Linked DNA regions of Oryctolagus cuniculus. The protein of the gene in region 3 purifies or fractionates together with the protein of the main gene of each other region. This does not show direct contact. Links are inferred from orthologs where the notes say so. Each region holds a gene or a part of one and is shown on either strand. Other genes may lie near its edges.

What was found.
Region 1: the proteins of CHAF1B (region 3) and CBX5 purify together in Homo sapiens (affinity purification with mass spectrometry; 8 studies listed by BioGRID and IntAct, with this or other methods). This does not show direct contact. The link is inferred for Oryctolagus cuniculus from reciprocal best matches to the Homo sapiens genes CHAF1B and CBX5.
Region 2: the proteins of CHAF1B (region 3) and CBX1 purify together in Homo sapiens (affinity purification with mass spectrometry; 4 studies listed by BioGRID and IntAct, with this or other methods). This does not show direct contact. The link is inferred for Oryctolagus cuniculus from reciprocal best matches to the Homo sapiens genes CHAF1B and CBX1.

What each region holds. Positions count from the first base shown.
Region 1 is NC_091442.1:57,182,288-57,185,936, reverse strand, and holds part of CBX5 (chromobox protein homolog 5), read left to right. Parts: intron 1-961; coding exon 962-1,062; intron 1,063-3,216; coding exon 3,217-3,367; 3' UTR 3,368-3,649. UniProt on the Homo sapiens protein: Component of heterochromatin that recognizes and binds histone H3 tails methylated at 'Lys-9' (H3K9me), leading to epigenetic repression. In contrast, it is excluded from chromatin when 'Tyr-41' of histone H3 is phosphorylated (H3Y41ph).
Region 2 is NC_091448.1:24,353,122-24,356,581, forward strand, and holds the end of CBX1 (chromobox protein homolog 1), read right to left. Parts: intron 816-3,460; coding exon 638-815; 3' UTR 585-637; downstream 1-584. UniProt on the Homo sapiens protein: Component of heterochromatin. Recognizes and binds histone H3 tails methylated at 'Lys-9', leading to epigenetic repression. Interaction with lamin B receptor (LBR) can contribute to the association of the heterochromatin with the inner nuclear membrane.
Region 3 is NC_091435.1:8,449,449-8,453,097, reverse strand, and holds part of CHAF1B (chromatin assembly factor 1 subunit B), read left to right. Parts: intron 1-306; coding exon 307-469; intron 470-1,501; coding exon 1,502-1,930; intron 1,931-3,649. UniProt on the Homo sapiens protein: Acts as a component of the histone chaperone complex chromatin assembly factor 1 (CAF-1), which assembles histone octamers onto DNA during replication and repair.

The DNA.
Region 1 (3,649 bases), on a different chromosome or scaffold from region 3:
CTGCCTTCCCGGGCCACAGCAGAGAGCTGGACTGGAAGAGGAGCAACCAGGACAGAATCCGGCACCCCGACCGGGACTAGAACCCGGTGTGCCGGCGCCACAGGCAGAGGATTAGTCTAGTGAGCTGCGGTGCCAATCCAGGGTTTTTGGTTGTTTTTTTTGTTTTTTGTTTTTTAGTATTTATTTACTCGAGGCCAGCACCGCGGCTCACTAGGCTAATTCTCCGCCGGCACACCAGGTTCTAGTCCCGGTCGGGGCGCCGGATTCTGTACTGGTTGCTCCTCTTCCAGTCCAGCTCTCTGCTGTGGCCTGGGAGTGCAGTGGAGGTTGGCCCAAGTCCTTGGGCCCTACACCCACATGGGAGACCAGGAGAAGCACCTGGCTCCTGACTTCGGATCAGCACGGTGCACCGGCCGCAGCGGCCATTGTGGGGTGAACCAACGGAAAAGGAAGACCTGTCTCTCTCTTTCACTGTCCACTCTGCCTGTCAAAAAACAAAAAAATTATTTACTCGAAAGGCAGAAAGTTACAGAGAGGCAGAGACAGAGAGAGAGAGATCTTTTGTCCACTAGTTCATTCCCCAAATGGCTACAACAGCCAGAGCTGAGCTGATCCTAAGCCAGGAGCCAGAATTTTCTTCCAGGTCTCCCACGTGGGAGGGGCTCAAGCAGTTGGACCATCTTCCACTGCTTTCCCAGGTCATCAGCAGGGAGCTGGATCGGAAGAGAAGCAGCCGGGTCTTAAACCCGCGCCCATATGGGATGCCAGTGTCACAAACAGAGGCTTAGCCTACTAAGCCACAGCACTGATCCATGATTCTTGAGTTCTAAGAATGTTTCTAAGTTGGGGCCAGAAGTGGTAGCAGATGATATTACCTTAGTTGTGCTTTGCTAACCTGAGGAACAAGTGTTTTTCACTCTTCACTACCTGTATGTAACCTTTCTTCCTCCTCTGTGTATAGCAGAGCAATGACATCGCCCGGGGCTTTGAGAGAGGACTGGAGCCAGAAAAGATCATTGGAGCGACAGATTCCTGTGGCGATTTAATGTTCCTAATGAAATGGTGAGCGAGACGGGTCCTCAGTTTGTCATTGTGGTCACTTTGCCTGTGACTTAAATTTGTGTGAAGGATGGGGTGGCAATACTGAAAATTTCCCAAAGTAATGATGTGGAATGCCGGGGATCCTTAACCAGGATGAGCTGTGGGCATTGACATAAGGTGAGTACTAAGGTTCGGAACGGACTTGAGCCTTTTCACGCTTGGGTATTCAGCCGGTTACGTTACAGTAGCCCACATGTTGGAAAGAGGCAAATCCAAGGTAGGAACCTTAGAGTCCTGATGAACCATTGGCTCACACAAGTCTGGATGCTTTACTGTAAGACAGTGAATCTGGAGCATGGCACAGGAGTTGAGTGAGGCTTTGCCATCACAGAGAGCCAAGGCCATTGACATGTGGCAGAAAAAATGAATGTTAACAGTGAGCAGCCAAGGCACAAGTGATGTCATCACGTAGAAAGAATGACTCTCGGAAGAAAGTGAAGTGCTGTCCCTCAGCTGGGTTTCTTAAAGGCAGGTTGGTTGATGGTGTGGCCCTCACTGCCTCTCAGTTTTTCCAAGGGTTCTGGGCTTGTGCTGTGTAGAGGGTTTGTGCCCCAATGCCACAAAGGAAGCTGAGGGCCCTACACGTTTCATCAAAGGTTTAATATTTCAACTGGTCAGAATGCTGCCGGGCACTGACCCCAAAACCTGTGTATGGAGGACCACGGTGTTCTGTCCGAAGTAAGGTGCTCTGTTGACTGGCGGTTTCCCTACTCAGCCGTATGTGTTACTTAGGGTTTGCATTCACGTATTAAATTGCTCTTTCCACGCTAATCCAGATTTGAGTCTCAGCTGCCTGTTTTCCCTTTCCTCACCCATAACACTTACCTCTGTGAGTGACCCAAAGGAGATAGCCCTTGTCACAGGAAAATCTTAATTAAAGTGCTTTTCCCTTGATTTAAGATAGTAGTTAAGGAACCGTATTCCTAGATTTTTTGATCACTTGATAAAGTAGGTTGGATAACTGGATGTTACAGCTAAAAATTTTTAAGATTTATTTATTTATTTGAAAGGCAGAGTGACAGAGAGGATGGGGGGAAGGCAGGGGAAAAAGAGAGAGAGCTTCCATCCTCTGATTCCCTTCCCAAACAACTGTAACAGCTGGGGCTGGACAAGTCTGAAGCCAGGAGCCTAGAACTCCATCTGGGTCTCCCATGTGGGTGCTGGGGCTGAGGCATTTGGGCTGTCTTCCACTGCCTTCCAGGTGTGTTAGCAGGGAACCGGATTGGCAGCAGAGCAGCCAGGACCCTTCCTGGCACTCTGCTGTAGGATGCCAGCGTTGCAGGTGGCAGCTTATCCCACTGTACCACAGTGCCAGCCCCACAGCTAAATTTCTATTTTCATACCATACCAGTCCACAATTCTGACCAAAGGGGTCATGAATATTTAAAAGGTCACAAAAGGCTAGACCCTGTTCACTGGGATGATCCAGAAACTGAACTGATGGGTTTACCCATAATTAATAGTGAGGTTCAATTGTATTTACTCACATGCTCATACATAAAAATTACGGAAGCAGAATTAGTATAATTTATTCAGCTTTTCAAACTCAGCCGTCATATTTTGCATCTAAATTTTTTTTAAAGATTGATTTATTTATTTCAAAGTCAGAGTTACACAGAAGAGAGGCAGAGAGAGAGAGAGAGAGAGGTCTTCCATCCGCTGGTTTACTCCCCAATTGGCCACAACGGCCAAAGCTGCACTGATCAGGAGCCAGAAGCTTCTTCCAGGTCTCCCACGTAGGTGCAGGGGCCCAAGCACTTGGACCATCTTCCACTGCTTTCCCAGGACATAGCAGAGAGCTGGATCGGAAGTGGAGCAGCCGGGACTCGAACCGGCGCCCATATGGGATGCCAGTGCCTCAGGCCAGGGCATTAATTCACTGCGCCACAGCACCGATCCCTTGCATCTGAATTTCAGCTACAGATTTCTGTATCTGTCTAATACCGTAGTTAAGCAATATGTACTCATGATTTGTTTACTTCCATTTCTCCTTGAAAATATTGAGCCATAAGGGTCCTTTTCACCTTGGAATCAAGTCCACTGAGTGCGTTGATGACATGAGCGTGTGTGTAGACGGTTTCTCTCCTTTTTGAGTGTCCCCTTCTTTCTCTGCAGGAAGGACACAGATGAAGCCGACTTGGTTCTTGCAAAAGAAGCCAACGTGAAATGTCCACAGATTGTGATAGCATTTTATGAAGAGAGACTGACGTGGCACGCGTATCCCGAGGACGCGGAAAACAAAGAGAAAGAAACAGCAAAGAGCTAAAGGAGGGGTGGGCTCTGTCTTTCTCTTTGTACATAATACATTCACCTCCCTTGCCTCCTCTTCCTTCTGCCCACCCCCTTCTCTCCTAAACACATCCATAAAAAATGTGCTTCTCACTGTGCCCCACAGGGGGAATGTTGGTATTGGTTCTCTGGTAGCCTAACTGATGGTCTGACTCAACGCGCAGTGTCTCCGTGCAGACCAGGCATTTACATACTGTGTGTAACTCCCACGATGGTTTCCTTTGCCCTGATCTCCTCCTCCTGCTCCCCTGTGACCTCA
Region 2 (3,460 bases), on a different chromosome or scaffold from region 3:
TGACGAGAATCTCCCTCCAAGAAGCCGCGGGGCTCTGTGGTTGGTGCCTCTTGGATGCTGCAGGTCCCAAGTGCCCATCCCAGAGAGTGTGTGGCCAGTGCTCCCCTGGCAGTCTCCTGGGCATAGCTGCAGAGTCTAGAGGTACAGGCTGTGATCATGAACTTGCAGCTACCTGTGTAATCTGGTTCGTCTCAGCATCTCGGTCCTTTAATGCTCGTAGGATTGTCCTAAGAGATGGAGAGGAACTCTAAGAAAACACTCACTTCTTACTCATATGCTTTAATTTACAGGGTTTTCCCACTCGGTTAGAAGGGTCAGTTGTCAAATAGCTTTCTCTTACTTTGGAGTTGGCTGACGTAGACCAGAAGAAAGTAGGATTCTTAAAGGGAAAAAAAAAAAAAAAAAGGAAACCACCCTAAAGGGTAACCAAGTAAAATTCAGGCAATAGTTTTCTGTTCATAGATGTGTAGAATAGGCTGCTGTTGTTTTTGTTTGGTACACAATTAGGCTTGTTTTGTAACTTCAGGAAATTTAGGTTTGAACACAGTTCCTTCATTTTCCCTTGCGGTGTTCTCCCTGCTTGGAGCTGAGTGTATTGGCCCCTTAGAGGTGTTTTGTCCGGGATCGCACTGATTAGTCAGGGCCTCGGGCCAGGTTGGTCAGCACTGCTGCGGGGCTGACCTCCTTTTGCTGCTGGCAGGTAGAGTGGGTGTTGCAGCCCTGTAGGCTTTTCCTGGCAGCAAGAAGATGCGAGAACTCCAGGAAGGCCTGTGGAGGGGCTGCCGCCACTATGCATGCATCCAGGGAGTGAGGTCCTGCAGGGGGGCAGAGAGGAGCAGACCTTAGAGTTAACTAAGGGCCAAGCACTCTGGTGACCTGCTTGGCTGGGTATAGGCAAGCCTGCTTTGCTTCTGAAGACCTGGGCTTCATTTAAACTGACTTCCACGCATGTATGTGGGATGATGCAGGCCCACTCCACCCCACCCCCCCAAGATTGGTGGATTTATTTGAAAGAGTTACACAAGCAGAGAGTGAGGTTGCCATCTGCTAGTTCACTCCCTTACATGGCCACAATGGCCAGAGTTGGATCGATCTGGAGCCAGGAGCTTACTCCAGCTCTCCCACTTGGGTGCAGGGGCCCAAGCACTTGGGTCATCATCTACTGCTTTCCCAGGCCATAGCAGAGAACTGGATAGGAAGTGGAAGAGCCAAGACTCGAACTGGTGCCCATATGGGATGCCAGCATGGCAGGCGGTGGCTTTACCTGCTATACCACAGCACCAGCCCTGTAGACCCACTGTTTAACCCTCTGCCCTGTATGGATCTCCCCAATGAAGCTAAGGGGTAAATAGTGATCTAGACATCACTTAATGTCAGGACCTAGCCGCCATGGCTAACTCCCTCAGCTTTGCTGGGGGAAGCAAAGCAGGACCTACTCAAATGCATAAATGGGAGGCTACTTTCCATAGAGCCCTGCTTCTTTGAGGGGGCAGGCCTCATTCATCCTGTTTTACAAAACCAGACCTTGCTGCTCTTCAGGATTCTTGGACAAGTAGTTTAACCAAGTGCCTTGTAGAAAAAAATAATACCCACCTCCCTAAAGTCTCCTACCCTCACCCTTGGGCTCTGATGGAAAGCAGCTCAGACCTACTGAAGTGGGGGGCGGGGGGAATACCAAGAAGTCTGTAGGTTGATGCTATCCATGGATAAACATAGGTACAGGATTATGTCTGCCTCTCAGAAGTCAATTTCCTTGTCAACTGTGGAACTCTAGCAAAATCCACAGGCTTCATCTTCATGGATGGCTAAACCTTGGTTTTTTGTTTTTTTTTGTTTTGTTTTGTTTTGTTTTTTTTTCACTTAACAAGCTTGGTAACTAAAGGGGACCCATCAAGCTTTGACTTGTTTTGTCAGGGTAGCAAGAGTAACCCTTTGCATGTCTGCTTGCTTCTCCCAGCAGTCAGTCCTCCTGCTCGCCTCTGGTTCTGAACTTTGTAGCAGAGAACGAGCATGCGTGGATCCTGGGGACATGTGTGCAACTTCTACCATTTCTAGTCCTTGTTCTGTCCAAAGCTGCTTGGAGTTCAGGTCTGCCTCAATCACCTGAGAAACAAACTAGTGCTCTAACTGTCCCTGAGCAGTGATAGTATGGGGCCCTGCTGGAACCGTTTCCAACGTCAGCTGGATAGAAGCCTCCTTTTCCTTCTGAGGCCTTAGAGCTGGCTCCCAGACTGCAGAATAGAGACGGGCTGAACAACACTTTGTACATGATTCCAGTTGCTATTTCAAACAAAGGAAAAAAAACTAAGTTCACCTGGGGAGAGGTGTAGAAAAGAACACAAGCTGGCACTTTTGCCTCATTTTAAATACAAGTTCAGGTTAATACAATTGACTCAGACCTTCCAGTCCTCAGCTACAGGCTAAGGCAGTAACTCAAACAATGGGCTAATGTCCCACAGCCAGGTTTCAATGTTGCCCTAACTCCTGGGCTATGCAAACAGCAAGCAAATAGTAGGCTTGATCAAAGTCAACCAGGATTTAAAAATCCACCCGGGGCAAATGGGCTTTGGTACTAACACAAACCACCATACCCATAAGATCAAAAATGCAGACCTAGTCCTGCTGAATATTTTAACACAGGCTGAACAAAAAGCATAAAAGTTTAACTGTCAGCATGTAGTCTCAACTTAGTTCAGCCTTGCCTTACCTCTGCTAGCTGACTGACCTAAACAAAAACAAACAAAAACCCCTTGCGACCACTCTGCTTGTCCACACACAGCAGGCTCAATGGCTCAACTTTTCATCCCAGGGTGGTTCTATTTCAGATTTCACTTGCTTCTGACATTTCAATTTATTCAACAGAAATTTACATGGCCAAGGTCAATTAAAAGTCATGCATATACAGGAGATAAACAACTTTAAACATACTGGCTAGGAAATCAGGAGCTTTTGGAGAAAATTCTAACCAAGTTGTGTAGACTGATACTTGTCTTGGGTCCTAAGCACCTCTTATCGAACTTTCTTGTCCCCTTGCTAAAATACGAGGATGTTGCTACCATTACCAAAAGCCAAGACTCTTCCTAGGTTAACACTGAGCTGTAGCGCTATCTGTCTAGTTCAGTCAGCAACAGGCTGTGTGAATGATGGTATATACCGTATAGTAGTGTAGGTGTGTAGTGGGTCAAACCATCTAGGTTTGTGTACGTACACTATGATGGTCAACAAAGACAAAATCGCCTAACAACACATTTCTCAGAAAGTATCCTGTCACTAAGTGATGCAAAAGTCAAACACTGGAGGGAGTAAGATACTAAGGCTTCACTATCAGCTCTAGTTCCTTTTTTCAGATCTATTTATTTGAAAGGCAGTTACAGAGGCAGAGATCTTCCATCTGCTGGTCGACTCCACAGATGGCCACAAAGGCCAGAGTCCGGCCGATTCGAAGCCAGGAGCTTTTTCT
Region 3 (3,649 bases):
CCAGCAGCGCTCGGCCCCAGGCTGAGCTGCCGCATCCACACGTCGTCTGTGCTGAGCTCTCCTTTTGGGAACCTCGGTGCCTGAGACTCTTAGCTCCTTGTTCCCTGGTTCATGCGTGGTTCTCTTCTATTGATGTATTCATGTGGAAAAGAGTATGAAGAGCTGTGTTCTCCAAGGCCCACAGTGAGCTAGGGTTTGATAAAGTGATGTTCTTTGTGTCCTCTTGGAGAGGACCTTTTTGGTCTACTGGTTACGTGTTCCCTTTGGGGACTTTGCTGTTTTACTTTGTCCCTTCCCCTCCTGCAGACCAGTCAGCACACGAGCCAGGCATGGAGCTGATGGACCTGCCCTACCGCCTGGTGTTTGCAGTGGCCTCCGAGGACTCTGTGCTCCTGTATGACACACAGCAGCCCTTCCCCTTCGGTTACGTGTCCAACATTCATTACCACACCCTGAGTGATATTTCCTGGTGAGTGCTGATAGCCAAGCGAAGTGAAGGAAAGAGAGGGCATTCCCGGGGCAAGCCTTGGGCTAGGGAGCATCAGTACTCAAGGTGGCTCCTTTGGCCCTCTACTCACCCTCTTTTTTTTTTTTAATGAATTAACATTTAAAGGTAAGCCATTTTTCATTTGCCACAGCAGTGCTTCCTGTTTGTTTTTTGTAAGATTCATTTTATTTGAAAGGTAAAACAAGAGGGAGAGACAGAGAAAAGAGATCTTCCACCTGCTGGTTCACTCCCAAATGGCCCCAACAACCAGGGCTGGGTCAGGCCAAAGCCAGGAGCCTGGAACTCCATCTGGGTTTCCTACATGGGTGCTAGGGGACCATCATAGTTGGGCTTTCATCTGCGGCCTTCCTAGATGCATTAGCAGGGAGTGACTGGGAAGCAGGGCAGCCGGAACTTGAACCAGTGTTCCAGTATGAGATGCCAGCATCCTAAGTGGTGACTTAACCTGCCGTGCCGTGGTGCTGGCCCCCACCTCCTGTTTTGACACCAGTGCATTTTGATGCCTTTCAATTGCCCTGTGAGATGTACTTGAACTCTGATAAACGAGAGAAGGCCCCATGGATTCTCTAGTCATTGGGGACTTGTCAGGCTCTGGGAAAAAACCCTCAACAGTGAGCCCTGCTGTCCAGAAGAGGGAGGGGGCCCCAGAGTCTGTCTCCGAGGTCGCCACCCTGCTCCTGTGGGAGGACCTGATGCACCCTCTGCTGCTTGCTCAGCCCAGCTGGAGCTCTGGCCAAGGCTTGGCCTGACACCATCTGTTTCTTGGTTCCTTTTTTCTTCTTTTAATTTTCTTTTGCCTTAGGAGAAAAAAGGTCATCTCACGTATATTCAGATGAAAGTTAGTAATACTGCACATAGCTGTGGTGACTTAGAACATGGAGATGGGATTGGGAGAGGAAATTGCACGCATAAGGAGCCTCTGACGGTAACAAGTGTTAAACAGGGTCCGCAGACTTTGGTGGCACCTCTGATTTCCCCGTTTTGGGAACACAGGTCCAGTGATGGGGCCTTCCTGGCCATCTCGTCCACTGATGGTTATTGTTCATTTGTGACCTTTGAGAAGGATGAACTTGGAATACCTTTGAAAGAGAAGCCAGTTTTGATCATGCGAACTCCTGATACGGCAAAGAAAACTAAGAATCAGGCACACCAAGGATCTTCACCGGGGTCCAGATCCATAGAGGGGACGCCCACCAGCAGAACCCAGGACTCCAGCAGTCCCTGTACAACCCCACCCCAGGCCAGACAGTCTCCGGCCCCAGCAGCCGTCAAGGACACGCCTCCCGTTCCTGGTGTCGGAAGCCCCTTGCCAGGACCTTCAGAGGAGAAGACCCCGCAGCACAGCAGTCAGAACCCAAGAGCGCCTCCACCCCGGAGGGTCACGCTCAACACCTTGCAAGCCTGGAGCAAGCCAACACCCCGGTGAGTTTCCACGAGACGAGAAATCATCACTGTGAAATGAAAAACAAATCAAACATCCCAGGGTGTTGTGAGTGAAATTCTAGAAGCAATTACTTGCCAGCAAGGGACATTTACTGTCAGGTCCAGTGACAGCGTGCTGGCTCGGAGGCCTCTGTTAGCTCCTCCCCTTCCTGTGTGCCTCATGCAGCCCATGCCCTGTGCATGCCTGGGGACTGTGGTTTGGTTGCAGCCTGTGTCCAGGACCGTAGCCCTCACTCTCCACAGTCCCACGTGCCTTACTCCTAAGCCTGGGCCTGCATGTGTGTTCTCAGAGCATACTGTTTCTGTTTTGAGGCTTTTGTCCCTGCCTTCCTTGGGAAAGCCCTGATCACCCACCCACCCACACCCCCTTGTTGGAACTAGAGTCCTCTTGAAAAACCCATTCAGGGTGAATGTCTCTTTCCACTCCTGGTCTTTGTGGCCCTTTAACCCTTTGCTTGCCATACCCATGACCCCTGTAGCAGGTGTTTCCTCAAGGGCAGGAGGCTGTTTGTTTGTTACCTGTGCTCTTCTGTCTAAGCACCAGGCACTTCCTGATATGCCAGGAATCAAAGGAGTGCCTTTTTTTTTTTTTTTTTTTTTTTTGACAGGCAGAGTGGACAGTGAGAGAGAGAGACAGAGAGAAAGGTCTTCCTTTGCCATTGGTTCACCCCACAATGGCCGCTGCAGCCAGCACGCTGCGGCCGGCGCACTGCGCTGATCCGAAGCCAGGAGCCAGGTGCTTCTCCTGGTCTCCCATGCGGGTGCAGGGCCCAAGGACTTGGGCCATCCTCCACTGCACTCCCAAGCCACAGTAGAGAGCTGGACTGGAAGAGGAGCAACCAGGACAGAATCCAGCCAAGTAAAATAAAATTTAATTTTTAAAAAGAAGTCACTCCTGGCCAGCGCCGCAGCTCACTAAGCTCGTCCTCTGCCTGTGGCGCCGGCACCCCGGGTTCTAGTCCCGGTCGGGGCGCCAGATTCTGTCCCAGTTGCTCCTCTTCCAGTCCAGCTCTCTGCTGTGGCCCAGGAGTGCAGTGGAGGATGGCCTAGGTCCTTGGGCCCTGCACCTGCATGGGAGACCAGGAGAAGCACCTGGCTCCTGCCTTTGGATCAGCGCGGTATGCCGGCCGCAGCGTGCCTGCCGGAGCAGCCATTAGAGGGTGAACCAACGGAAAAGGAAGACCTTTCTCTCTGTCTCTCTTTCTCACTGTCCACTCTGCCTGTCAAAAAAAGAAAAAAAAAATTATTTTACTTTTGAATGGTATGTAAGATTAGACATTTTTATGGGGTGCAGTGTGATATTTGGTATACATGTATATATGTATGTGTGTATATATATACATATATGATAGTGCACTTATCAAATTGCAGCAATTAGTATACCCATTACTTTAAACTTTTTTTGTGGTAAAGACACTCAAAATCTTCTCTTTTAGCCTTTTTTTTTTTTTTTTAGATTTTATGTGTTTATTTGAGAGAATTACAGACAGTGAGAGGGAGAGACAGAAAGGTCTTCCTTCCAGTGGTTCACTCCCCAAATGGCCACAACAGCTGGAGCTGTACCAATCGGAAGCCAGGAGCCAGGTGTCTTCCACATGGGTGCAGGGGCCCAAGCACTTGGGCCATCCTCTGCTGCTTTCCCAGGCCATAGCAGAGAGCTGGATTGAAAGAGGAGTAGCCGGGACTAGAACTGGCACC